Linked DNA regions of Lytechinus pictus. The protein of the gene in region 2 interacts with the protein of the main gene of each other region in a biochemical or structural test. Links are inferred from orthologs where the notes say so. Each region holds a gene or a part of one and is shown on either strand. Other genes may lie near its edges.

Evidence for each region.
Region 1: of the proteins of serine/threonine-protein kinase Chk1-like (region 2) and denticleless protein homolog, one has a biochemical effect on the other in vitro, tested with the Homo sapiens proteins (2 studies listed by BioGRID). The link is inferred for Lytechinus pictus from reciprocal best matches to the Homo sapiens genes CHEK1 and DTL.
Region 3: the proteins of serine/threonine-protein kinase Chk1-like (region 2) and DNA replication licensing factor mcm7-like form a complex in vitro, tested with the Homo sapiens proteins (2 studies listed by BioGRID, with this or other methods). The link is inferred for Lytechinus pictus from reciprocal best matches to the Homo sapiens genes CHEK1 and MCM7.
Region 4: of the proteins of serine/threonine-protein kinase Chk1-like (region 2) and serine-protein kinase ATM-like, one has a biochemical effect on the other in vitro, tested with the Homo sapiens proteins (2 studies listed by BioGRID, with this or other methods). The link is inferred for Lytechinus pictus from reciprocal best matches to the Homo sapiens genes CHEK1 and ATM.

Annotation. Positions count from the first base shown.
Region 1 is NC_087251.1:16,413,229-16,420,606, reverse strand, and holds the start of denticleless protein homolog, read right to left. Parts: upstream 3,005-7,378; 5' UTR 2,748-3,004; coding exon 2,669-2,747; intron 1-2,668. UniProt on the Homo sapiens protein: Substrate-specific adapter of a DCX (DDB1-CUL4-X-box) E3 ubiquitin-protein ligase complex required for cell cycle control, DNA damage response and translesion DNA synthesis.
Region 2 is NC_087252.1:4,964,242-4,971,702, reverse strand, and holds the start of serine/threonine-protein kinase Chk1-like, read right to left. Parts: upstream 3,021-7,461; 5' UTR 2,841-3,020; intron 1-2,840. UniProt on the Homo sapiens protein: Serine/threonine-protein kinase which is required for checkpoint-mediated cell cycle arrest and activation of DNA repair in response to the presence of DNA damage or unreplicated DNA.
Region 3 is NC_087260.1:14,307,267-14,314,341, forward strand, and holds the start of DNA replication licensing factor mcm7-like, read right to left. Parts: upstream 3,018-7,075; 5' UTR 2,614-3,017; coding exon 2,583-2,613; intron 117-2,582; coding exon 34-116; intron 1-33. UniProt on the Homo sapiens protein: Acts as a component of the MCM2-7 complex (MCM complex) which is the replicative helicase essential for 'once per cell cycle' DNA replication initiation and elongation in eukaryotic cells.
Region 4 is NC_087248.1:3,339,767-3,347,729, reverse strand, and holds the start of serine-protein kinase ATM-like, read left to right. Parts: upstream 1-4,942; 5' UTR 4,943-5,003; intron 5,004-7,963.

The DNA.
Region 1 (7,378 bases), on a different chromosome or scaffold from region 2:
ATCACTACCGACTGAACCATTCGCTTCCATAGATGGTAGCTAGGGGGATTCCTTACAAGTTCATCAAGTGGGGAAGGCTGAATTTTGTTTAAGTGCAGCACGCCATTCTTGTACGGATTTGGTGTTGGCACAGATACCATGAAGAAGCATCCTTCGTTCTATCCTGTCCATGTCAGTGCTCAAGGTCTGTCCCAGGAGTAGGAGCTTTTCCTGGGTGACCAACAGGCTCATTGGGATTACATGTATGTCAGTGAGAAGATATACTGCTTCGTCGGCTGATGTTGTTGGTAGACCCAGAATCCGCTTAAATAGGTGAACCTGTGCTTTATCTAGGCGATTCAACATTGCCCTTGAAAAGGGAATGCTAGAGCAGCCAAAGATCATCCTGGTAACACAAAAAGTTTTCCACAGTTTTGCAGCGACATGGGGAACTACCCTTGCTCCTAGTGGTGAGGTTCCCACAAGGGCATAAAATGATCTGTATCCCTTTGTGATCGCATCAGCAGCGTAGTCATACTGAAGATGTCAGTCCTGACGATGCCAAGGTGCTTGTGTGAGGAGACCTGTGCAATCGGTTCACCATTGATCTGCCAAGAGTTGCCACTGTTCTGAAGATCTTGATTAAGCACAATGATTGCACTCTTGGAGGGGTCGATCTTGTAATTCCACTCCTGGGTGTAATTAAATGTGACATTCAACATCTGTTGCAGTTCCATGGGCTCATTGCTAAGAAGTGCAATGTCATCCGCGAAGGCTATGACCCCAACATATAGGTTGCCGACTGAGCAGCAAGATGACACTCCCTCAGACGCTTAATAAGGTCGTTGATGTAGAGAGTGTACAGCATGGGGGAAAGCACTCCCCCTGCCTTACTCCTTGGAGAACAGGAAAGGAGGGACCAACTTCATGCTTCCAGAATACCTTGCTTGAGCAACTGTTGTAAAATTCAGTAATGGTATCCAGCAGCACTGTAGGTGGATGAGTCGCTGCTATCTTCGAAAGGAGACCATCTTGCCAGACCCTGTCGAATGCTTTCTGGGCATCCAACATAGCTATGTACAGAGGTTAGTTGAGGGACTTGTACGATTCGATGAGAAGGTCAAGTGCTTTACCTGTAAGAGTACAGGACCTCTCTCGTTGGAAACCAAATTGCAACGGGTCTGGAATTTGGTGTTCTTGTAAGTGTTGGGAAAGTTTGGGCTTTACCAACAACTCAAACAGCTTTCCTAAGACTGGATTCAGAGTGATACCCCTATAATTTCCTGGGTCTGTTGGATTCTTGCTCCCACCTTTGAAGAGAGGAATGACAAGGCCATCTTTAAGGCTGAGAGGAATGTGCTTCAGATATATCATCCAGTTCATCATGATGAGGATAAGGATCCTAGTGGTGCACCCAGTGTACATTAGGTGCTCAGGAGAGATGTTGTCTGGACCACTAGCTTTGTCAGGCCTTAATGAAGAGATGGCCAAGGACAGCTCCTTTGAAGTGAAGAGATGGTCAAGCCCTTGTGGATGATGTATAGCAAGGGAGTCCATATTCTCAGGATGTGTTGGATTCAGAGCCTGTGTAGAACTGAAGTCAGATGGGGTGGCAAGATCCTGGAAATGCCGAGTCCACCCCTGGATGATATCGGGCCCAGAGTAGGTGAGACCTCCAGGGTTGAGTTGGTGCACATCAGAGCCAGGGCCTCGTTCTTTCACTAGTGTATAGAACAGTCTGTCGTTGTGTTCGTCGGCTCCCTCAATTCTTGACAGAAGACCATTCCTGCAAGCAGCTCTTGCTTGTCTAAGCTTAGCACGGAAGGCTTTTTTCAAATTGGCAGATAACACACCAACTGGACTGTTCTCTCCTTCTACCCCAGTCTCGATCGGCCATTTTGTTAAGATTCATAACAAAAATGGCCGATCGAGACTGTGGTAGGAGAGAACTTTTCGTTTTTTGAGGTTCCAGTCTGTGCCTCGATGTCAGGAAAATGCCACTCGTTATACCTTCATCCATATAATCTTGGTAAGTGCATAATTTCTGTTTTCACAATTCATTTGGAGAAATATTTAGACCATAAATCACGCTAGTCCCGTTAGTATGGTCAAATACACGGTAAGCCCCTGGGCTCCCTGGGTTATACATGATAGCGAGCCGTCTGTGTACGAGAAATTTAAAAAATAAAAAAATGTTGAATAACTTCTCGAAACAGACGGCTGCCAGCTGTCTAGGTCATTGACATCAATGGATGTAATCTAAGTCTAATGGAAGAAGAAGTAGGACCCCTATATAATTCTAAACTAGGCCTATAAGTATAATGTAAATTTTGGTAAAATTTTGATGGATTTCAAAGTAATAGAGGTATAATAAACTCGACGTTAGCCTGTGGGCGTGGGGTCTAAAAATTATGACGTACATTTCTCAACTCAAGAAGACCTTTCAAAAAGATTAACTTGAAAGCTCGATAGCGAAAATTCAAGCACATGATTTCATTAACCCATGTCAATTTTTGCATAATTTGGAGTATTAAGGTGCAAAATTAACTCTAGGCCTACGCAAAATTTTGTGAAAATGACATGAATTTCATGTTAACTCAATAACTGACTGTGGTAGTGTGGAACGTCATTACTAATACTATCTCAAAATTCTCATTAAACTAAATGAGTAAAGTAAAGTTGAACTCACCAATATTCTTTGTTTGTGATTTCCAAGCCCAGCGTCGGCGATCTTGGTGATAAGCAGTAATCAAATTCCTGGATGACATTGTGAAAAAATGATAAAATCAGCTGGCTGGAGATTTTCTGGTAGATTTAAGTAAAATCTAAATTAATGGTTGGCGTCTAAGCTTAGAATTTCAGTTTCGTTTCACAAAAACTTCATTTCCACACTTGTTTACGTTGTATCTGCAATGCATCGAATTTGGCGCGCCTCCCGAAAGATAGTTTCAAAACCCAGACGCTTTTTAGATCTATCACGGACGAAGCAGCATACGCGATGCACATTGTTGCACGATTTTACATCAAAACGCCTAGCTAGAGCTTAAAGATTTGAACCCGGAAGTACATGTAGATTCGCCAATCTAAAAATTCTAAAAGAATTTTACACACGCCAAACAATATCTCAAGACTTGAAATACCATGTCAAGTGCAACTTCTCGTTTGTCAAACTTCGGTACTGATGTCGGATATGGAGAACAAGAACATGATGCAAATTCAGCTCTTCTTGAGCTTGATAAAGGTGAGCATGAGCAAAATTGCAGCACTATTTGCGCTAGTTGCCGACCGCGACCCCCGCCGCGACCTGCTGCAGGCTGTGCAGCTGCACAGGCACGTCCAGCACAACTGCTGCCTCAGCTCTCCCGTCTTTCTCCAGTCCAAGAGTCTAGCTTCGCGCTGCCCGGGAGTAGCGGCGTGGATATGCCATGGCCTGGGGCCGATTGCACGTAAGGGTCTTTGCAAGAACCGTCTTTCGTGTCGCACATTTATTATGATGCGCCATGTGAAACGCATTTTAAATGAATTACCTGCAAACATATTTTATTCATCCGTTTAACTTTAAGTAGACAATTTATGAAATGATGTAATAATATCATGAAATCGTATACAAATTACAATTACAAATTGATTTAAATGCCAGCTAACGAATTCTATTTAGTATTTGTTTATCATCATACATTTCAGTAGGTAGGACAACGAAAAAAAAAAAAACATTGCTCAAAACTTACCATAAAATTTCCTAAGTAAATAGTGAAAAATAAGGCTGGCTTAACTGCAGAATACCCCGACACTGCTCACTACCCAATCGTTGGTCAGCCAACACAACGATGTCAAGACCTATAGCTATATACTAATTCAATGGTATATAGCCTAGATATATCCATACTATTATATACGTACATGCATTACTGGTACTACTACTACTACTATACTACGTACGTACGTACGTATGACGGTACGTACGAGCAATGCATCCAGGCCATACGTAATGACCTTTGCCCTTTGACTACTACTAGAGCTATAATTAAACATCGTTGGGTGCGCTGCTAGCCAACGACCCACGTTGTGACGGTACGGACGGTGCAATATAATATTCAAAACATCGTTGGCTAACCAACGACCCACGATGTGAAACTGTTATATTATAAAATAAGATTAATACACTCTTTTAAATTACCTACTAGAGCTATATACATCCTTGGGTGCGCCGCTAGCCAACGACCAACGATGTGACGGTGCCATGTAACATTTAAAACATCGTTGGCTAACCAACGACCCACGATGTGAAGGTGCAATAGTACAAGATTAATACACTCTTTTAAATTACCTACTACTACTAGCTATTGCTATACATCGTTGGGTGCGCCGCTAGCCAACGACCAACGATGTGACCGTGCAATGCAACATTCAAAACATCGTTGGCAAGCGTTTCAAAGTATGGTTTCACAAAACAGTTTAATATATGCATATCCTGGTTAGTGAGGTGATCGATGTCATTCACTCTCTATTTCTTTTGTATTTTTTATACATGAAATATTTTCATTTTTTCTTCATTAAAATATGAAATAAAGTTTTAATTCCCATTGAAGGAATTCAATGGGAATTGAATTCAATGGGAATTGAATTCAATTAGGGTTAGGGTTAGGGTTAGGGTTAGGGTTAGGGTTAGGGTTAGGGTTTAGGGTTAGGGTTAGGGTTAGGGTTAGGGTTAGGGTTAGGGTTAGGGTTTAGGGTTAGGGTTAGGGTTTAGGGTTAGGGTTAGGGTTAGGGTTAGGGTTAGGGTTAGGGTTATATTCACATCGTTGGCATCGCCGGCAATGTTGGCCTCTACAACAGGCATATTCACATCGTTGGCATCGCCGGCAATGTTGGCCTATGTAAGATACATTCACATCGTTGGCACTGTTGGCATCTACTACAGGCACCAACACATCGTTGGCATCGCGGGCGCTGTTGGTATATACATACTAAACATACATTCACATCGTTGGCATCGCCGGCAAAGTTGGCCTATACTTACTAAAGATACATTCACATCGTTGGCATCGCCGGCAATGTTGGCCTCTACTACAGGCATATTCACATCGTTGGCATCGCCGGCAATGTTGGCCTCTACTACAGGCATATTCACATCGTTGGCATCGCCGGCAATGTTGGCCTATGTAAGATACATTCACATCGTTGGCACTGTTGGCATCTACTACAGGCACCAACACATCGTTGGCATCGCGGGCGCTGTTGGTATATACATACTAAACATACGTTCACATCGTTGGCATCGCCGGCAAAGTTGGCCTATACTTACTAAAGATACATTCACATCGTTGGCATCGATGGCAAGGTTGGCCTGTACTACAGACACCAACACATCGTTGGCATCCTGGCCGGCGCTGTTGGCCTATACGTACTAAAGATACATTTACATTGTTGGCATCGTTGGCACTGTTGGCATCTACTACAGGCACCAACACATCGTTGGCATCGCGGGCGCTGTTGGCCTATACATACAAAAGATACATTCACATCGTTGGCATCGCGGGCAAGGTTGGCCTATACTACAGACACCAACACATCGTTGGCATCCTGGCCGGCGCTGTTGGCCTATACGTACTAAAGATACATTTACATTGTTGGCATCGTTGGCACTGTTTGCATCTACTACAGGCACCAACACATCGTTGGCATCGCGGGCGCTGTTGGCCTATACCTACTAAAGATACATTCACATCGTTGGCATCGAGGGCAATGTTGGCCTGTACTCTACAGTACAGACACCAACACATCGTTGGCATCGCGGGCAATGTTGGTCTACATAGGAAACTACAGATATGATCGCATCGTTGGCATCGCGGGCACTGTTGGCATGTACTACAGACACCAACACATCGTTGCCATGGCGGGCAATGTTGGTTTACATAGGCAACTACAGATATGATCGCATCGTTGGCATCGAGGGCAATGTTGGCCTGTACTACAGACACCAACACATCGTTGGCATCGCGGGCAATGTTGGTCTACACATACTACGGAAATATACACATCGTTGGCATCGCGGACACTGTTGGTCTACATACTACAGAACACAGATATAGATCGTTGGCATCGAGGGCAGTGTTGGCCTGTACCGACTACAGACACCAACACACCGCTACCATCGCGGACTGTGTTGGCCTACACGTACTACGAAAATATACACATCGTTGGCATCGCGGGCAATGTCGGCCTACATACTACAGATGCACACAGATATATATATAGATCGTTGGCATCGCGGGCAGTGTTGGCCTGTACTACGGACACCAACGCACCGCTAGCATCGCGGACTGTGTTGGCCTACACGTACTACGAAAATATACACATCGTTGGCATCGCGGACACTGTTGGTCTACATACTAATCGCGCGCGCTCGCATCGTTAGCGTTACAGTGCAGTCTGAACACTTAGAATCTATTCAAAAAATACTTGTAAGTTGTAAATCATTCAATTATTTATTATAGCTGATTTTCTGATTTGATAGCTTAAGTACATCGTTGTGCGTTGGCTCTCCAACGATAAGGTAACGCAGTGTCCGGGTATTCTGCAGTTGTTCCATAAGGCTTAAATGCTCCATAAAATGTGTCTGGATTTGCATACAGCATTTTGGCCCATCCCCATAGGCACACACAGCTACATCTCAGCCGCCGACTACAGAATAATTGAAGGCACGGTGCATTCAACAAATAACGTTAATTTGCGAAAAATTAATACGAGGACTTACAGAATGAAGTCCTCCTACAAAACTTACGAAACGATGTGAAGTCAATTCCTCATAATTTGATGAATATCCCTCAAACACAAAATGCGTCATTTAAGCGTTGATTTTTCTTCTCGTTGACAAAATACGAGAGCTACCTTTCTAGCTCTCAAATTTTTCGTCTAATGAGCGAAAGAGGGCGCGCGATTTATCTTCATATCAAAGACACTACAATTGAAAGACTAGACACAGAAATTATCTTACACGTAAATCGATGCAAAGCGTTACGCGAAGTCGGCAAAGTGTTCAATCTTTTTACTGTAAAGACTTTGGTGGAACGTTAATTGACAAACGAACGGTAGCACTTGCTGGGCTTTGTTCAAGGTACATAGAATTTTCTATATTTTTTGTTTAATTTGTCATCGTTTTGAATATTTTCCAAAAAGTATTATCGTCAGCAAAAATAATAAAAAAGTATGTTTTTTAAGTTATTGCATTTATTGGGGTCTCTATTTTATCAAACAATTATTGGAATTGCGCATACAATGAATAATGAATCTAGTTTTAAAAATACCACCAAGCCGAATTAAGGTTGCGAACTGTATTAGCGCCACCAACGACCTTCCTTTTATTTCCGTGGAAGAGACGTGCGAAGCCACTTTCCAG
Region 2 (7,461 bases):
CGCTGCCCGAAGAGGTAGTCACTGCTCAGACGGTGAACAGTTTAAAAATAAGGCTAGACAAGGTGTGGGCAGACCAGCGGTACTGCTCACCCTATGATGCATAAACCACACTAATATTGAGGACGGAGCAGATTTCCAAGCTAGACTGCTATGAAGATACCTAAGTAACGAGACAGATGAAGGACTTGAACTGGAAGCACGACTGCTGGGATCATCAGCATTCTTCCAGAATCTCGGGTAAAGGTAAAGGTATAACTATCCATTACACAATGACATGACTGTTTCAAACTATGGTGCCATGCATTCTTCCTCCATTGAGTTCTGTTCAGTCCTCTTTGTAGAGTATCGGTCTAGTCGTACCTGTGAGTCATACTAGATTTGATTTAGGTCATGGTGCTCACAATCACACTAACACATACAATTTGGTGCACACATTTTGAGGAATTAAACTTAAACTTAAAAGGGAAGTTCCCCCTGATAAATATTTTATTGTTAATATACTTTGATGAAAATCAATCAATAACTTGTTATTAGAATTTTCATTTTTTGATTTGTGATGTCATGCGAGCATGCAGCTTCCCCATATACAGTGTATTTAAAAAAACTCATTGAAATGTCATTTTCTTAAAAAAATTGAGAATTCTTTTTTTTGTACCTTGAGCAGGGTGACCAGATTTCACAAAATGAAATATGGGACAATCGACAAAAAACATCAAAAACGAAGGCTACACAGTGTTAGACTTGTGAAAAAATATAAAGAATTGGAAAGGAGGGTGAACGAAAGAATGAAGGATTAAAAAATGTGTTTCCTTCATTCTTTGAAAGAAAGAAACAAAGAAAGAAGAAAAACAGGAAGGGAGGATTGGAAGGAAGGGAAAGAAAGAATAAGGGAAAAGAATTAGAAGGAAAAAAATGAAATAAAGAATGAAAGAAAGGAGGAAAGAGAGGGAGGATTGGAAGGAAGGGAAAAGAATTAGAAGGAAAAAATGAAATAAAGAATGAAAGAAAGGAGGAAAGAGAGGGAGGAAAGAATGAAGGGAGGAGAGAATGAAAAAAAAGAAAAAAAAGAAAAAATGGAAGGAGAGAAAGAAGGAAAAGAAAAATGAAAGGGAGAAGGAAGCAAAGAAAAGTTTAAGGAAAGAAAGAATGAAGGAAAAAAAGGAAATTTAAGAAAGAAGGAAAGTAAGAGAAAGAAAAATGAACAGAGAGAAAGGTTCAGGAAAAAAAAAGGAAATAAAGATAGATAGCCAAAAAAGGGCAAGCAGGAAGGATGGAGAAAGAAGGATAGAAAAGAAAGAAAGAGGAAAAAGTTCAAACTTCAAGCAAACAAAAAAAATCATCTAACAAATCATGGTGTTTTTAAATGCTTTTATAATAAAAAAAAAATCAAAATGTACTTTTAGAAATGAATAAAATTTCAAAGTGAAACATTTTCAAACTTAAAAATTAGATGAAACATCGCTGCAGCATCATACACAACAAGATCCCCAAGACTCAAAACAAAAGCTGAAACAATGAGATCTAGTTATGAAAACTCAATAACTTGTTCCTCCAATTACATCTCCAAATCTGTAATCTGAGAATCCATAATGTAATATAATTATACAAATTTCCGGCTGATTTTGTGATTATTTTGGTGGAAAAACTGTTCATCATGTGAGATTGCTTGCACCATTGAGAATCTGCTCTGATCCTACATGCCTAGCTAGTATAGCCTGCCACACACAGGCAGGAGGCCAGTTCGTTTGCAATGTATTGGGTTAGCAATAAAAAAAACCACAGAACCTGCAAAAGTTTAGTTATCGATTTTATTGTTGTCTCTGCTTCGTCATATCTGTTGGTTATTTGATGAAAATTTGTCACTTTTAAAATGTATTAACTACATTTTGTTCAATATCATGAAATACGGGACAAATAGGCGTCCCGGGAAGGGTTTGTCGGGACGCCGGAACAAAGGAGTAAAATATGGGACGATCCCAGGAAATACGGGACGTCTGGTCACCCTGACCTTGAGTAGACTATATTGATCAACACTAGACTCTATCACTCTACAGTACAAAAAACAAATTATTTCACAACCGTGCCTGAAAGAATTTTCCAGTGTGACTGTTGCAAGAAACTTGCGATCAATTGCACATCAATTTTTGGTCGCTAATTCATTCATAACAATTGTTTTGCAACTTACGTAAATTGCAAATTTGTGATTGCAGATCCGATTCTTGCAAAACGGAATGTCATCCGTTTGCAAACATACAGCTAAAAATGATTTTAATTCAGAGTTGCCAAGACAAGACCAACTTTGTGTGAGAAATTCCATGACTCGGCATAATAATTTGTAAAAAAATGCAACTAAACAAAATAGACTATGTGAGTATGTGCAATTTATTGCAAACATTTTATTGCAATACCCAATTATTTAGTTACACAACTCAGTCAGACTCAGAGTCAGACATTGTGATTGTGTAAACCCATCATCTACCATAACATTAACAACTTATCAACTTAACATTACGGACATGATGCATCATGAAAAAAAAAATGGTCGGAAGTTAAGTCAACTCACTCAGCAGACCAGTGGCAAGTCAAGTAGACTAACGTTCATTACGTTAGTGACAATTAATTTTCTAAACTAAAGTTTTAGAAATTTAAAAAGTTAAAGTTTTAGAATATTTAATTTAACAACGTTAGATCTCAGAATTTCTTAGAACTCTACTCTGACATCACAAATTGTCATTTTTTAATGATTCATAAGACCGTAATCAAATTTCATAGAAACGGTCATGGAAATGATGTGTATGTAAGTGTAACAATATTGAATATTTAAAAAAAAATTGACGTACCCGCAGCGGAGACTCAGTCAGAGCTTGATAACTACCTGGGCGGCTGCCAACGGCGCAAATGCTTTCCAGTTCCCGCTCACTTCAGTCCAGCTCGCACAGCTGCAGTCGTACTCGTACCGTACCACTCACCACTTGCGATCTCATTAAAACTGGCGCGCCAAATTTGCACATGTCATGTGTTTTGATAGATCGAAGCTGAATGACGACCGCCATCTATTGGCGAAAATAATTTCAATTTTCCAAGTACTTACAGGTATAGCATGGACGCACCGGGTGCGCTGAGAAATTCTCAACTTTTTATTAAATTCAAAGATGCACAAGATACCATTTTCATATTGGTGATAATAGGGCCTATTATCATGTGCATGTGAGAAGTGATATTTCTAAGATAAAGTCAGTGGCGACAATATGCAAATATGACTAATCGCCAGTCAAAAAGAAGAAGCTCCCTCAAAAAATAATAATAATGATAAATAAAAAAGTTTAACGACCAAGACAAAAAAAAAATCTAACCCTGTTAGTTAGCTCGCGCCAAAAAAAAAGAGAAAAAGGAAAGGAAAGCGTATACAATTTTTTTGTAGGACCAGGGGCTGCGGAACGTGTGTACGACGTAGGGAACCTCCATGTCAAAAGAAGAATTGAGTGCATAATAACCGGTATTCTCACCGTCATCTTCCGTTTCTGCATGCCTGAAGTAATAGTGCCGGTAATGTAAAGTTTATCAAAAACAATTTTAAGGATATATATATTGACAATATTGTGCCTGCAGACTATGAAATGGGGGCACTGTCTTCATCAGAGCTGAGAAGTGGTGGAAAGGGATTTTTACAATGAAAAGAGAGATAACATTTGAAGGTAAACATATTTTGAAAGGAACTGTTTTATGGGCGCTGTTTCAGGGGCGGATCCAGCCATCGCCGATATGGGGGGCCCTGAATTTTTTTTCAGCAATATTTTCCCTGATCGGCCGCTCGAAGATGATTTATGTATGTTTCTTTGAAGGGTAGTCCTCATAGTAACTTCTTAGCTTTATGCTTATAAATCAACATAAATATATCATATCATAATCCTTATCTATATAATGCGAGCGCGAAGCGCGAGCTAAATTTTTTTGAAAATTTCATGTATTTTTCGTAAAATTTGAATAATCTGGGCAATGTTTGTTATCCTGAGAAAGATGTATGTGCAATTAACTAATTATTACGAACGCGAAGCGCGAGACTGCTTGCTATTAGCCATGAAGACGTTGCATATTTCAACAATCAAACAATGAGAGCGCGAGCTGAATTTTTTTTTGACATTTTGACCTAAAGAATGGAAATTGTAAGCAATTTTTTTCGCGAAGCGCGAGCGGAAAATTTCGAGATTTAGACCTAAAAACGAGACACTCTATTCATGTTTTGTAAATCATGAAAAGGATGAGTAATTGGGGTCTTCCTTACATTAATAATGCGAGCGCAAAGCGCAGGCAGAAAATTTATATACACGTTTTGAACTGATTCACCTGGTAAGGACTGCTTGCACTTAACCATGAAGACGTTACATAATATTTCAATAATTAATAATGCGAGCGCAAAGCGCGAGCTAAAAATAAATTGACATTTGTATACATAAAGCATTGAAAATGTTTGTAATCGTGAACAGGATAGTTATATAACTAAACAATTGATGCGAGCGCGAAGCGCGAGCGAAAAAAACGAGATTTAGACCTAAAAACGGTACACTCTGTTCATGTTTTGTAAATCATGAAAAGGATGAGTAATAGGGGATCTTCCTATACACTAATAATGCGAGCACAAAGAGCGAGCAGAACATTTTTGATATTGTGATCTGAAACTGGATAATGATTTACATAGAGCACAAGTTGAGTATCTGAATAAACATGCGCGCGTGTTTCAGATTTAGACCTAGAATCTAGGCATTCTAAACAGGGGCCGCGGGCTGGGGGGGGCTTCAGCCCCCCCTCCCCCACTTTTTTCAAAAAGCGTGTACAAAAACGTAAAAATGACCATATGATTGTGATTTTTTGCATGGTCAGCCCCCCCCCCCCCCCCCACTTTGAAAACCGTTCCGCGGCCCCTGCTAAATACATCTTTTATCATGAAAATCAAAGCGAGCGCGAAGCGTGAGCTTAAACTATTTCATATTTCAGCTCTATATATATCAAGCACTTTGTAGGAAAATTGTGAGGTGGATATGGATCGCACTTAATAAAGAGCTGATATTTTGGCTCGGTGTAAAAATGGCAGAGGTAATAATGGCAGAGGTAAAATGGCAGATGTAAAAATGACAGCTCTATAGGTAAAAATAATATGGCCAGTCTTAAACCCCCATGCAATGAATTGTCAAAAAGCCCCCGCAAGTACATACATTAAATAAGAAGTGCATGTCACGGTTAGTCATTTCATCATTATGTCTATATCGGCCTAACAATGCTTTGTACGAATTCGTTGCAGGTGTACCGTGAACGCTTTTTAAAAAGAAATCAAACGACAGATATTTTTTCATTCAATTTATCAGGAGCAAAATGAAATTGCACTATTCTCATTCATCATTTTATAACATTCCTTTTTGTCTGGCTGGTTTTTTAGTATATCTAAAGTTTTGCCAGGTTTACCGATGCAAAAAAGGAGGAAGAGTAGACATAAGAGAGGTGGAGAGACAGAGAGGGTTAGGGGGCGTGGAAAAACATAGAGAACATAGCGGGGAAAGCTTAGACGTTGAAATAGTCACGAATGATTGTGGTTAAATATTATGTCCTTATTTGTAATGTCGTCTGTACTATTCTTTTTAAATATTTGAATGACTATAAGCATGCGTTCCCAGGCTTGGCAGTGAATATGTAACTGATTATGAAAATCAATAATAATCTTGTTTTGACTGGTAAACCAATTCGGGGTCGATCGAGGGGGGTCGTCTGGTTCAGATTCTTTGCATAAAAGAAGACCCTGAACCTTTACCACTGCATCCAATATGATATAAATGCCTTGATGGTCATAACCCTTGGAAGCGGAAGTGCTGTTGGGGATTTTGTACACCATAAGCAGCACCCTTTTGGTAAATAGCTTGGTATATATAAAATTATTATGCTAAAATGTAGAGATTTGATACAAATCTCTGTTATTTTTCAAACAGAAGAAAAACATTGTTTATTATCTAATTGTTATTATTTTTGTTGTAATTCTTTTTCTGACCTAAAAGAACTTCATTTAGTTGAAATAATTTTTTGTGTCATTTTCCCCCTTAACCAAATCCCCTTTCATTTTGGAGTGAAAACTTTTTTTCTCGGCTTTTTAACAAACCAGCACCCCATATCTCTTTCATTTTTGCCTCTGCATGCCATCTATACCTTTGCCATTTTCAACTCCGCCATTTTTTACACTGTTAGAAAATTTATACTTAAAAATCAAAAATTCCTGCAACAGAGTCTGGAGAACAGCTGTAATCTTACTGCACTGTGTAATCTTACATGCATTAATTGTGTAAAATTACAGAATATTGGTATTTTGTGCGTGTACCCTTACAAATTTATTGTAATAAAACTGTTTTCCCCTTTTTTTAAAACATCTGTTTTGTAAAATTGTAGAAAAATTGTGGAAAATCCTCCTGTTATTATAATTTACAAAATTATTTTTTATTTCTGTAAAACCTGTCTTTTAATTTTTTTTCTGTAGAATCTATGGTTTTTTTAATAGTGCACATGTACCTCGGCCACTTTTACAGCTGTCATTATCACATCTTCCATTTTTACCTCTTGTCATTTATGCCTCTGCTCTTTTTACCTCTGCGGTTTTTACCCATTTTTACCTCTGCCATTTTTACCTCTGCCATTTTTACCTCTGCCATTATTACCTCTGCCATTTTTACTTCTGCCATTTTTACCTCTGCCATTTTTACCTCTGCCATTATTACCTCTGCCAGTTTTACCTCTGCCATTTTTACCTCTGCCATTTTTACCTCTGCCATTTTTACCTCTGTCATTTTCACCTCTGCCATTTTTACCTCTGCCATTATTACCTCTGCCATTTTTACCTGGCACCGATATTTTTCATTATTCATATTGCTTTGAGACTGAGTTTTGACATAGGACCAGGACATCCTTATATAGGACATGTCCTCATAATTTATGCAAATGATGACTGTCTTCCTTTTCCTCTTGCTAAGCGCGAGATGAAACAAAAGGGACAATTTAATTATTAGGGGACATCCCGATAGACCGCGGGTCCGATAGACCGCGGGTCCGTTAGACCGCGGGTCCGATAGACCGCGGGTCCGATAGACCGCGGGTCCGATAGACCGCGGGTCCGATAGTCCGCAGTGTGTGTAAAATTATGATCAGATATATCAAATGTCATCGAGAGGTCCAAAGGTCAAATGATACGAGGCCATGGGGTTCTATCAGGTGTGGATCCATGGAGGGCCGAGGGGGAACTGCCTCACCCCCCCCCCCACCCCCAGCTCAAAAAAAAAAGAGGGGGAAGAGGGGAAAAGGGAGAGAATAAAAAAAGAAAGAGGAAGATGGGAAAAGAAGAGAATAGAAAAGAGAGTAAGAAGGAGAAAGGAAGAGAAGAAAAAGGGGAAAGGAAAGACAAAGAAAAAAGGGAGAAGAAAAGGGGAAAGA
Region 3 (7,075 bases), on a different chromosome or scaffold from region 2:
TATTTGTGAAGATGGGTAAAAGTAATTTCTTACCAACTGTTGTGCATATTTGAAGTTCTTCTTTCCTTTCCTGCCTCCATCAACATAGAAATCAGTCAAGAAGCCTCTGCATTTGTCTGAAAAAAATTGAAGTGAGAAAGAAAATGTGTGAAATGGGGAGAAGATATTTGCATCTATTTATATCTTAAACGAATCAAAGGGCAGATATTCAATCGCTTGATGATTAAGTGAACAATCAATGTTCCTGGAAACTTTATTTGCTTTCCTTTTAGGTTTTTCTTTTTTACCCCTGCAGTTCTTGACTGTGCACAAACATGGTCAGGCTCCTGAACTAAGGCCACCTTCGCCTTCAGCAAGAACTTGAAGTTCATGCTACATGTAGTATGTGATAGTGTGAATGGAGCAAGTAAGATTTAAGAACACAAAAATTCTCAGCTGTGAAAAACACGTCGAAAAGTAAAATCAAATCATAATTAGAAAGGAAATTGATCAATAACAAACTGAATTCGATGACATCATGGCAGAAAAAGAAGTGGTTACGAGGATGGAAGATATTCAAACGATATTCAACTTATTTGCTACAATGTATGAGCTCATTGCACAAGGCGCTGGCAGTAAGCATGTCTCTGACACTATCAGGATTCAAGATCACACTCAAGGACATTGGTAGGATGAAACTCGGAAGACTGCCAAAACTGACACTATCTTGCTTTTGTGCAAGCCTTGCTAAGCAAAGACTGTGCATGCTCAAGGATTTAGGAATCTTAGAGAAACCTGTCACTCTACAGAAAATCAAAGATTATGTCACCTTCTTAGCATCCACAGAAGATCACTGTCAGAATGAGTCTACATTTACATGAAATCTGGTAAAACTAGGAGAATCTCTCTTGATGGATAGAAATGGAACATTTAGAGGAGTTACTTTGACTATCTACAACAAGTTCATTGTATGTGATTCAGGTTCTCAAGCAAATTCAGAATCGTCACCTGACAACAAGGCCAAAGGAGGGCATAGACATGCTCTCAAAGAAAAGATACTGAATGAGATATCTCCAACAAAGAAGCAGGGGACCATTTCTAGGAGATCAAATCATCCACAAGAGGATCAGACATATCTTTGTTGATGCTGCAGATGGTGCAACTCCGAATTCTGGAATGCAAGGGAACTGTCCTGAGCAGAGATACAGACGATGACCTGGGCCACGTAACACAAAGGTTAGCAATTAATCGCTAAAAGAAATGGCCTATCAAGATCATCGTTGCATGCACATTTTGCTCAGCAAAATAACTAGGAACCAATCAGAATTGTACTTTCAAATTAGCGATTAATCGCTAACCTTTGTGTTACGGGGCCAGAATACATGAACCTGGCAGAATCCCTTCAATTTCTATACCGTCCTGTACAATCCACCATACAGACTCTTACCCTCACAAAAAGAGCGGGAAGAGGGTCAACTCTGGAATTGATGTAGGGTACAATTGTAGGCACAGGCCTGAGTAGGTCTCAACTGTTTTTTTTTTCATTGTTGATCTAGTTCTATTGAACATGAAATGCAGGCAAATCCAGAATCTGATCTCTTCATGTTCCAGACCAAAGAATTGTCATGGACTCATAGTCATTCAGTATGTAAACTGAAAGCATGTTTGACATTTTATTGGCATTGTAGTTTGACCCAATGATGAGCTTCATATTTGCAATAAAAACATTGCATTAAGATGTATATAGCCTACTTCTGTGATTCTCGAATGTACATGTATTGTTTATTGGACTTGTCAATTGGTTTATCTTCTGTATAAGTTCTTTGAATAGAATAATTAGAACGCATGACTGTACACTTTAAATCTTGGTTGAAGATAATAACATTAACAAGTACAAGTTTCACTGCAAAATGATGATGCCGATTTAAGCTAATTTCCTGCTGTATTATTATATTACATGTAGGAGTACAATCAGATTTGTCTGCTTGCAGAACTGCTGATCTGACTTTGACTCCAAAATAGTCATATTATTGTCTTTTTCATTGAAAAATGCCACATCCAACATTTGATCCAAATGGTTTTGAATAGGTTTGGTAGGCTATGTAATTTTACTATTAATTTATAGACTTAAGAGTAGTCTCTAGTCTGGTCTTCTCTTTTTTACAAACCTGAATGAAATTTTACTAGGGCCCAAGTAAGAAAGAGAAAACAGATGAAATAGAATCCATACATCATGCAAATGCAGCCATTAGGAAAATAGGAAATGATTATTTCTTATGAAGCCTAACTGAACTCCCTCCCATTCCGCTCACACTCAACGTTAGTAAGTTAGATTTATAAAATATTACTTTTGGGCGATGTCCAGGCCAGCAGTGGGCTCGGAGTCAGAGCGGAGTCGCGTCGGAGCCCGCGCCCCGTCGCTGGCTAGGCTTTGAATATGCAGCTCAGGCATGGGAGCAAGTGCACTGCGTCCATTTAAACTTTAAATGGCTTCACCGCGGCCGGCGCGTGCGACTGGCTTCAATTCATCCGATCATCCAAACTGTTCTCCGTCTCAACATCTCACAAAAACAAGATAAAAAACTGTCGTAAAATACACTCACCCTTTTCTGCAATGTAATCCCTGGCTGCCATTGTCTGAACTTGTAATTTACTGTACTTAAATCAAATTCCACAACCAAACAATATTTCTTGAACAGCTAGCAGACCCTTTTGTGTACAAAATCACACAGACGAACCTGGCGCGAAATATATCACGTGACACGCCAGCGCGAGTTGACTAGTCTCACGCTGTGAGAATTTTGTAATTAAATGCCAATTAATCATTTACAGATAGGTATTCTGCGCTAAAAATAGACAATTCACGAAGTAAATAAATTTCAGAATGATTCTAAATAATCAAATGGTCATAATTTATCGCACAGACGAACCTCTCGAGAAAGATATCACGTGACACGTCTTTATTTAGAATGAAAATAGGTAATTTACACGCTTTAAGGAAGACAACGACTTTTCTTTGTTGTTGTTTTTAATTCGGTATTGTGGTTCGATACATGCACGATTGACAGCTGTTTCTCTGTTACGACGATACCATGCTCGTCCCTAGATTTTCATTAAAGCGTTCTAAACAGAAAATATGCCTGAAAAATATGGCCCTTTCTCCGATTGTAGCACTGTTGTTACTTTTTTTAAAGTTTTGTATGTTTGTAATTATTCTTTCACGTTTCCTTCTCATTTTTTTCTTTCTTTGTTCCGGGGGGGGGGGGGGGGCGGTACTTCGATTTTGTTTCGGACGGCCCGCGGGGGTGCGCGGCTAAAGATTCAAAACCCATTCCCATATTTACCGGTCATTTTGGCTGAAAAGTTACCCATTATTAAGGATTAATTGAAATTTAACAAGCAGAAAAAAAAGGTTATCACCCAAAATTGAAGGAGACCATCCCACTGGGCAATTTGTTACCGATTACCAATTTTACCGGTTATTACCGGTAATATCACCCGGAAATTTGAGTAACACCAAATATTACCGTTATTACCATGTTATTACCGAAATTATAATTACTGTTGATACCTGTTACTGTTATCAACCTGATGAAACCTACATTTACCTAGTTACAACAGGGTGGTGAGGGGTAATAAGGGTAATGTTGAATGACTTTGATTGGTTATAACATTGCAAACTTTAGTAATAAGAGCAATCTTACAGCAATCCCAGCGAAATTTTCAAAGTCCAAAAAATTACTGTTATCACCCTGATGAAACCAAATTTTACCCAGTTACAAACAGGTTGATAAGGGGTAATGGGTAATGTTGAAACGCTTCCATTCCCAGACAGCAAAGTATCTGGATCACATACGGTTCTTATCTGGGATATCTGGGTCCCATATGGGCCCACATGGAACCCAGATGAAAACATATACTTGAACCCACATGGTGCCCAGATAGGACTCAGATGGAAACGAGACCTCCAACCCATGCGGAACCCATTAATATTGGGTAAATGGAGTAATATCAGATGGTAATATCAGGAAAATGCTGGGAATATTAGTTACTCATGAATATTCATTACTACAATAAATGGCCAAAATTTTAGCTAATATAGCTGTAATAATTAATGTGTTTATGTTTATGCAATTATTCCACCCAGAAAATTTTCAGAAAAATGTGTAGTTTATATATCATATTAGTCATAATCATGACATTAATTTTAGAAAAATGTTTTAGGGTTGAATAATTGTTAACCATAATTTGTCAAGTGTTGTAAACTCGCTCAATATATAGAAGTAAATGACAGGGTTTGGTGGATAGGTGTAGGATAGGATTAGGATTAGGATGTAGGATTTTAGGATAGGATAAGATGATATGGCTTAGAGTATGGAGTTGTAAAAATGTGCTTCAATGACCCTAATGACACTAATTGTTTTTTTAATGAGCCGACATTAATTGGGTAATATTGGGTAAACAGAGTAATATGAGGTGGTGATATCATTAAAATGCTGGAAATAGTAGTTACATCATACTGAGAAATATTGGGTAAATGGAGTAATATCGGGCAGTAATATCATGAAAATAACTGGAAATATCGGTTACATCATACTGGGTAATATTGGGTAAATGGAGTAATATCGGGTCCGGGTAATAACGGGGAAAGATTGGTCTACTATTTCCCCGTTACTACCCACTGGTGTTACCGTGGTAATAACTACGTTATTACCTGTTACAACCCGGGTAATATCGGGTAAAATGCCCAGTGGGATGTTTAAGGCCGGGGTATCTAAAAATTGGGGCCATGGACCCAAGTTTAAGGCCAGTATCTAAAAATTTGGGCCATGTTTAGGGATTTCTTCAAAAAAAGCGACACATTCCAGCGGCACATCCCCGTATGCCTTATTTCGTGAGTGACGTACCCCTCCCCCGGGCTTTGTTTATATACACTCGTTCATTTTCTTCTCCGTCTTTTTTGTCTTTTTCTCTTATATTTAGCGCGCGCGAACAAGGTCCTTCAGGGGGGGGGGGGTATCGTGTGCCAACAGTCCACCCAAGCGAGAAAGGGGGGAAAAAGGAAGGAACAGGGAAGGGGAGGATGAAAAGGAAGAAAAAATATATTAAGAAAAGGAAGCAAGGGAGGGAAATAATTGGGGGAAACTCAGGTCATTATCCCTGATCTATTAAAAAAAAGATCGCTCGCGTTTTTCCTTCACATTGCCTTGGAAAATCTACTCAAGAGGATAACTCGCTCGTGATTCTACCCAGAAGAAACCAGTTCCATATATCAAAATGCATTCCAGTTCAAGCAAAGTAGCCTATGGGATAGTGCCAGTCAAGGGCGGAAATCTCTCCCCAAATGTAGGGGGACCAGGGGCTGGAAAATTTGACAAGCAAAAAAAAATTGTTATCAGGCCACAAATTTAAAGTCACTCCGACCAAAATAAATTTGACGAGGCAAGCAAGCAACAACAAAAAAAAAGGTTATCACCCAAAAAGTAAGGGCATCTCGTCCAAAATACATGTTTTATTTCGATTTTGAATGATGTATTTCTTTCCATCAAAAATAGTAGGGGGGACATTGGATATTGTGTCCCCCTACTATTTTGAGTAGGGGGTCGCGCGTCCCCCCTGGGATTTTCGCCCATGGTGCCAGGCAATTGTTTTAAATCAAACTGGTGTTACTGAATTAACCTATGAGTCATGACCAGCAGGCCTAATTGTTACTGTAGATTTTTACTTGGCCAGTTGATTTTTAACTGGACCAGTAAAACTTCTGATGATGCAGATCACGTGGTTTCATATCTCCCGTTTTTTAAAACACAGAATTATAATTTAGAATAGTATAATAAATGCAAGGTCCAACTGATTCTTAAAAAAATCAAAATAAGTGTGTAAACTAGCTATTTTACAATATATGTAATTATTATTTTAAATAACAGAAATATTCATTTATGACTATCGTTTTCCGCCATATTTCACTGATCATGATCATGATGTTAACAAATCAAACGGACTTGTTGGAACATTATAGTTTTATCCCACAAGACATGTTTTATCCCCACAATTACGTGCTTCTCACCCAATAAAAATCAACGAAAATTGTCAGATTATCCGACAAAGACAATGTTGATGGAACGCCCCCTGCCCCCTTGGCCTCGTATAACACAAACGTTGCGATTAATCGCTAAATGAAACGGCCTATCAAGATCAGTGTTGCATGCGCATTTTGCTCAGTAGACTGACGAGGAACCAATCACAATTGGTCTTTCAAACTAACGATTAATCGCTAACCTTTGTGTTACGGGGCCCTGACCCGGGGGGGGGGGCACTCAGTATATAATGCATAGTGGGTATGTGCCGCGGAGGGGACCCCCATTTTTACACTCAAATTTCCGATCCAAGGCATAGCATTTTTGTCTTATTGAGAAAAAGAACAAAGAAAGCCGTTCCAAGGCATAGCATTTTCTTCTTATCGAGAAAAAAGGAAGACAGAAATCCGCTCCAAAGCGTCGCATATTTTTCGTTACGCCGTTCCGGTCGCATTGAAGCTGCAATTTTGGTGAAAAGCGGCCGAGAGCGCTGTCCGACCATCGCCTCTGCGCGAGCGCACTCGGCGGCCGTGCCGCCGGGCTAGCTGCATCATGCACGCATACCCGTTCCATAGGGATGCATACAAGCTCACACGCTGGCGATCCGTTCCAAGGACCCCCGTTTTTACAAACATTTGTCGTTCCGAAGCCCGTTCCGAGGACGCTCCTTTTTACAATAAGCCCGCTCCAAGGCCCCCGTTTTTTGTCTCGCCCGCGGCACACCCCTACCACTTTTTTGGTCGAGTGCCCCCCCCCCGGGGGCCCTGATCTACTATGCGGCCTCCGAGCTGAAAAAGGTTGTTCACCACGGATCCAGGGAGGGGTTCATCCAGCCCGTGCCCCTTCCCCCCTCTCCTGAGAGCATGGCCCTCAGAAGCGGGTGTGCTGGGGGTGCCAAAGCACCCCTAATGATTTCCCTGGGGGTGTTGCGTGTATTATTCTCCATAAGCAGCATTTCCGGAATTTTGGAAGGTGTGTCAAATGGGGGAAAAAATACACAAAATGACTTACATTTTTTA
Region 4 (7,963 bases), on a different chromosome or scaffold from region 2:
TATTGTATGGCAGTACGTGGCGTAACTACGGGGGAATGGGCACGTGGAGCACGCCCCCCCCCCCCCCATCGGCTAGTCAAAACACACACACACACACAAAACGGGGGAAGGAGAAAAAGAGGGAGAAAGAAAGACAAACATAGCGAGGGAAGAAGACATTACTGTTTATTTATTATATCATTTTATGTTACATTATTATTTTATATAACATGAAATATTTTCCCATAAGGGCATATTCGTCACTCGATCCTGGTGATATTAATCCTGTTCACTAAAACATTCTCCGTTTTCAAGTCAATATACACCACCATGTCCAGTCCGTGCTTACCTTCGCATGCAGTGGATTGGTGAGATGATGTTTCCATGAATTCCTCAAAAACAATCCTAAATATGTCCCTTTTCTCGTCTTAATTTAAAACATTTTCAACTCGCGCCTCGCATCATTTAGTTAGTGAAATACGTATGGTCCTAATGAATTCTTGTCTTAGAATGCCCTCTTAATCAGTTATGAATATCAAAAGTTTCAGCTCGCGCTTCGCGCTCGCCTTGATTAATAAGAAACGTATGGTGTTGCTGATTACAATAATTACAAATGTGTTTAGGTGTAATTCTAATAATAATAAAAATAAATCAGTACGCGCTTGGCGCTCACTGCACTTACGGATGCAGAGAGGATGTAACGCAAAATAATGTTGCTATCCTATGGAATTATGTATCCGTTGTGTACCCTTTGCACACGTGTTTCATATACCAGTGGCGTAACTACGGGGGGGGGGGGGCATGGGAGGCAAAAACACGGGGAAAAGGAGAAAAGAGGGAGAGAAACGTAGTGGGAAAGAAGACATTATTATTCATTATAATGTTATATTATCTTATAATTATGTTATGTTATTTTACATTAAAATTTAAAAAAATCCTAACTTTATGAAACATAATTTGCTCAGGGCTTATGTATTCATTGTTCCTGATGCTCGCGTTGTCTGTTTAACGAGATATATAATCCCGTTATACTAAAACCTCCCGTTTTCAAGTCAGTATACACCAAATAATATTTGTATTGTTTTATGTAGTGACAAATATGCTTCTTTTTCATGACTACTTAAAGTGATTGCCCCATTTTAAGGTCTAACTATAAAACATTTCCTGTCCGTGTTTGCGTTCGCATTAGTAGATTAGTGAGATATGTCTGCTCTTCATGAATTCCTAAAATCAGTCCTTAAAATGTCCCTTTTTCTGATCTGAATATCAAAAATTTTCAGCTATCGCTTGCATATTTTGGTAAGTGAAATACGCATGGTCTTGAATTCCTACAAACAAGCCTTAAAATGCTCCTCTTCAGGTCTGAATTTCCTAAATTTTCAGCTCGCGCTTTACGCTCGCAATATATGACAAGTGAGATGCGTATAATAATCATGATTACAATGACTACAAAAAGTGTTTCTCATGTGTTTAGATGTAATTCTAAGAAATCAGCATGCGCTTGGCATTCGCATTAGATGACTATGGTGAGATAAGTGTTCTCTTCATGGATTCCTTTAAAAAATAGTCCTTAAAATATCGCTGTTTGGGGTCAATATATACAAAAAAAAATTAAGCTCGCACTTCGCGCTCTTATCATTTGGTTAGTGAAATACGCATAGTATTCGTGAATTCCTACTAACAAGCCTTTAAAATGTCCCTCTTCAGGTCTGAATTTCCTAGATTTTCAGCTCGCCCTTCGCGCTCGCAATATTTGGTCAGTAAGATGCGTATGTTAATCATGATTACAATGCCTACAAGTGCTTCATGTGTTTAGATGTATAAAATTCTAACAAAATCAGATAAAATGGCACTCGTATTAGATGACTATGGTCAGATATGTATACTCTTAATGGATTCTTAAAATATAGTCCTTAAAATGTCCCTCTTTGGGGTCAATATATACAAAACTTTCAGCCCTCACTTCGCGCTCGCATTGTTTGTTTAGCGAGACAGGTATACGTATCATGATTACAAAAATGTATTTATAATGTCCCTTTAAAGGTCTGAATATAAAAAAATTTCAGCTCGCGCTTCGCGCTCGCATTATGTGATCAGTGAAATATATATCCATTTAATGGCACTGTCTTTAGAATTTCTCTATTAGGTCAGTATACCTGACAACTGAGCGCGCTTCGCGCACTCAATAAGTGACTAAAAACATTTTTGGTACCCCCCATGCCGTGACCCACGGTACGCCACTGTTTCATACGTTCTCCATCGAGCATCCGTCCACTGTGATTTCATTGTCCATTGTCTGGAGCGGATGTAAACGGATGGAGCCACCTCGAAATTGGCTTGTCCGCTGTATCCGTTAGCCTATGGATACGTTTTGTGTCCGTCGGCAAGTGGGACCAGACCTTTAGATGACTATGTAAGCTAGCTCTTCATTCATTTCTAAAGAATAGTCCTTAAAAGGTCCTTGTTTGGGGTCAATATATGTAAAATTTCAGCTCGCGCTTCGCACTCACATTGTTTATTTAGTGAGACAGATATACATATGATTACATAAATCGGCTATTATAATGTCCCTTTCTTAGGTCCGAATATATAAAAAAAAAATCAGCTCGCGCTTCGCTCGCCTCAGTGAGATACAAATCATTTTAATTGCACAGTCCTTAAAACGTCTCTATGAGGTCATATAGCTGGCTGTTGAACGCGCTCAGCGCGCCCACTAAGTGCCCAAAAAATCCAGGGGGCTGTTTCATAAAGCTGTTCGTAAGTTAAGAGTGACCGTAAGAACGACTGGTGAACCTTTCTTACGTGCTAAACCATCGCCAATGAATATGCAATTTGCCACTAGAAAGGATCACCAATCGTTCTTAAAGTCGCTCTTAACTTACGAACAGCTTTATGAAACACCCACCAGGTCCCCCATAGGCCCCATGCCGTGACCCAATGTTATGAAACAGGGCACTAGACAATATAATTATCCATTAACGTATGAGCCTGGAACGGAAATCTGAGGGAGAGGGGGCAAATCTTTTCCCCAGGACACCATTGAAGGTCAAGTCCACCCAATAAAACTGTTGATTAGAAATGATAGAGAAAAGTTAAACAAGCATAATGCTTAAAATTTCATCAAAATCGGATCTAAAATAAGAAAGTTATTATATTTTTAAGTTTCGCTTATTTTTCATAAAATAGTTATATGCACAACTCAGTGATATGCACATGAGAGAGTTGGTGATGTCCCTCACTCACTATTTCTTTTGTTTTTATTGTTTGAAATACAATATTTCAATTTTTACAGATTTGTCAACAATTAAGGACCAACCTGACTTAATCATAAACTGTTGAAATAATTGTCATCACACATGGTCAGGGAGGAATAAGATTTGTTTCACATGCAATGAGGAGAAAATAAGAATTTTTATATTTCATGTGATAAAATACAAAAGAGGTAGTGAGTGGGTGACATCATCGGTCTGCTCATTAGCATACCGACCATGATGTGCATATAATTGTTTTGCGAAATTAAGAGAAATTTTAATATGTCATATTCTTATCTTACATCCGATTTTGATTTTTTTTTAATCGATGTTATAAGCTTGTATGATATTTCTCCTTTTATTCAAGTCACCTTTTTATTGGGGTGGACTTGTCTTTAAGCAAAAATATCACCACCTGCACAAACAACAAAGTGCTATAAAACGCCAACTTTGAGAATAAAAAAAAAATGTATCAATAGAGATCCACTCTCCTTCGCATATTGACTAAGATGAACATCTTTCTGTTATGAATATCATAATGAAGTGGAATGGATTGGTTAGCGAGAGAACAATTAAGCAAAGGAATTATTTTGTTTTTTATCAAACTATTTTATACAACATTCTCTCTTTTCATTATCTTCCTCTTCTTTCTCATTTTATACCTTCTCGTTTTCTTGCCCCTCTCTTCTTTCGCTTTTTTTTCTCCCGTGTCATTTGGAATTGGAGTTCCATACCTCTTCCTTTTCTTTTTTTCTTTCACTTCCTTTCCTCTTCTTTCTTTCTATTTTCCTCTCCTTTTCTTTCCTTTCCTCCCTTTTTGTCTTCCTCTCCCTTTTATCCTTTCCATTTTCCTATTCATTCTTCTCCCCTTTAATTTCCCATTCCGTTTCCTCTTTTTCTTTCTTTCTTTCTTTCTTTCTTTCTTTCTTTCTTTCTTTCTTTCTTTCTTTCTTTCTTTCTTTCTTTCTTTCTTTCTTTCTTTCTTTCTTTCTTTCTTTCTTTCTTTCTTTCTTTCTTTCTTTCTTTCTTTCTTTCTTTCTTTCTTTCTTTCTTTCTTTCTTTCTTTCTTTCTTTCTTTCTTTCTTTCTTTGCTTCCTTCCTTCCTTCCTTCCTTCCTACCTTCCTTCCTTCCTTCCTTCCTTCCTACCTTCCTACCTTCCTTCCTTCCTTCCTTTCTTTCTTTCTTTGCTTCCTCTTTTTCATTTCCTTCACTAACTTTCGGTGGTCTTGTAGATTTCCCCGCTGAAATATTTTTGGGCCGGGGGTTGAGGGACCCGCCCCTGCCCAAATGTTTGGCACAGATGGTGTTTGAAAATATATGACAATATATTGGGCATGATGGTAGATGAAATATTATTATAGAATAACTTGATGTAAAATTTTAATGTTCAGTACGAAGAAAAAATGGAAATATAGATGATCAATAGAGGAATGAATACAATTTTTTTTTATTCACGATAAATCATGATTTTCCTCACCCGTAGCCATGGGGTGGCAATAATGATTAATATCGATAATTTCATTAAAGCAAGAAACAAAAATAAAGATGATCACATTCACATATGCATTAATATAAAGCACATGTATGTTCATTTTATAATGAATATGTCAATGGCGTAATACGCCCGCGCAGTGGGTTAATTTTATTATTAAAATTATTATTACTTTTCATTTTTTTTTTCCAATTCTATTTGTGTGGTTAACTTCTCCTTCGTTGCGCATGTTCGACGAAATTTAAAGTCGAAGTCTGAGTCTGACTGAAAGTCAAAGTTCGTAAGTGGGGTTAAATTTTATATTGTGCAAGAACATTTTGTTATATTTAACTTTTGCAGTCATATATATTAACGATGGTCTAATCTTCCAGCTTGAGTACACTACCGCTATTATTACCACTCTGTTTCTCATCGTTCTGGCCGGGCGTTTTGGGCTTCTGTCTGGCCACGGCTACGGCTGCCTCGGTAACCCAGGCCGCTCCGGCCCGCGAAGCGGGGCGGAGCCCGAGATCAGGGGCCTGTTGCATGAAAGGGTCTTTCGTAGAACCATTCTACGTAAGAACGAGATATCGCTCAACTGTTTCACAAAGCCGATTTGGGCGATACGAAGAATGGTCCTTGGAAAGACACCTCCAGACATGTCCTACGTAGGCATGATCTTCTTTGCACACCGCCCGCCACCGTCGGCATTGAGAGAAAATGCATTTACGCCAAAATTACGGCAAGCCACACTGACATATCACCTCTAAACATTTTTTTTGGTTGCACTCTGATGCATTTTATCTGGGATGGTGCCAAGTTATGTTTTATATGGGGGCTATAGTTGTCATCAATTTCAGGTCGTCTTTTTGCACGGCAGGACGACCAAAAACGGATGTCATTTTAACTTCTCCGGCCGGGGTATGGTAGGGGGTCCTAAAGCTGCGCGGGTCCTAAAGCTACGCAGCACTCATCGCGCATGCAGTTTTTATGGCAAATGCCCGGCGGCGCGGGGCAAATGCGCACTCTGTGTGTGGAACTGTGACTGCAGAGTGACGAACGATTCCTATTCAATTTTTTCTTCAGAGGCTGCACTGCAGTAAAATCTCTAAATGCAGAGAAACCAACAACTGTTTGGAATTTTGGAGTTATATTCGCTTAAATTTCATTTTATCCTATAATAATATGAATGTATTTTAGAAATTGAGGCACAAGAAATACTATTTTTTTGCATGATAAATCGAGTGCGTAGCTTTAGGACCCCTTCTACATCGGGTGGCGAAATCAAGAGGTGTTCGGAAAACTCGGCGGGATTTTCGTATTAGTGAGTTTTGCGATATTTTCTTCTTGGTTAATGATCTTTAGAATGTTTGCCACAAATTAGTGAAAGATATTTGTTGAAATACTAAAATTGGGGTAGTTTTTATTGTTTGAAAACAAAGTGCGTAGCTTTAGGTCCCCCCATCATACATGTATTATTCCCGGGGGTAATGTATAGGGCCAAATATTTTTAAAAATAATATGTTTTCTTCTATTCTCCCTCCGTCTTATCCCCACCCCTTTTCTATTAAAAAAATAAACTTGAAATACTTGAAATGGGCGGCACTATATCTCTTTAGCCGACCCCAGTCATGCTTTCTCATTAAAGATAAACAACAAATTTCTTTAAAAGAAATTATGTAAGGTAAAAAACGTGTTCAATAACATTCAGCAAAAAAAAACCAAGACAAACAAAACTAAGATGTTAAACATGCTAAATCATTTATTTATTTTATTTTATTTTCATTATAATTATTTTTTTTTGCTGAGATTTATTTTAATCAATGAAAATTAATTGTTGGATTTGAAACAGTGAAACAAAACAAAAAACCTGCAGCTAATATTGAATTTAAGATACAGATTAAGCCTATAGCTTACGAATCCATCACAATCATTACAAATGAAGATAAGTTCATTAAAGAAAAGATTATGGAAAGTCCATACGAAGAGGCGCATTTTAAATCTTTTATGTTATTTCTTAAACCTTCCATAAATTAAGTGATCATCTTTAAATATGACCAGCGTTTATGATCGTTGTCATATTTAGCATTATTTCTGTAAAAGTATTTGTCCATTGCGGATTGATTCACACCTTTTTCTATGTTTTAATTATTATTGCAAAGTACTACTTTATCCACTTGGACATGTTTGCAGCAATTTTCATATTTTCATTTTCTTCTGTTACTCATCATGCAACTGAGGTATGTTTATACTCTAAATACTCACATTTGTATTTCTTGCGTTATATCTGACAAATAAAATAAATAAATTAGATTTTTCACACGCAGCCTCTCATATTTTCCTTTTTAGTCTCATACAATCAGACACTGTTGATTTTGTTTACTCCATTCAAACCCTATATTTACCTCAACAAATAACATATTAACGCATAATTTGCAAAATTATCATTATATACAAGTATTCTATAAAAATACAGAATATTGAACTCATAAATGTCGAAATTACTTAGTTAAATCAATTTTTATGTCGGACAAGGCCCAAGGGTCTCTTTCGTTGAAATATCAATAAAAGGTGTCTCTAAAAAGACACCGTGTTCTAAATAAGGGAAATAATGAAAATTTCGATTTTATTTAGTTATGTTTGTGAATCTTTAAAGTTTTTTCTCTTTTAACCTCATAAAGTAAGCTCCATACATCAATTCTACTATCAGTAATAAATAAAACATTATTTGATCTCCTTTTATTGAAATATCGGATTTTATGTAAAGTCGTCATTCAGAAATAAAAGGTTCAGGTGACGATGAAGACTAAATATTTTCCCGATACTATCGATATCAAACGATGTCGCGGACTTGGAAGACAAAATTGCCTTCGTGAAACGGAAAGCGCTGATTTGTCGCCAATCTTCCTATCTCGGAAGAATGGTCCTAGGACGTTCCTACGTATCGCTCATCTCGTCATGCAACAGGCCCCTGGACTCGTCCGTGTAATTAGGCAGCGCGTACTCTCCAAAATGGGGTAGAATGGGGTCGTAATAGCACCCCAAATAAAAAATGAAAAAACAAATTATGCACTTACTTCGATTGTATGTATTTGACTTTGGCAACATTTGAGAGGTATTTTACAGTGTGAGTGTCATTATAAAAATAATTAATGATGATGACAAGCAAGCAAGTCCAGTTTTTTGAGAAGTTCGTTATTTCTGTCTTTTTTCTGGACCGGCACCTTCACTGTCATTGTCAAGGAGCTAAAGTAAAGGGCC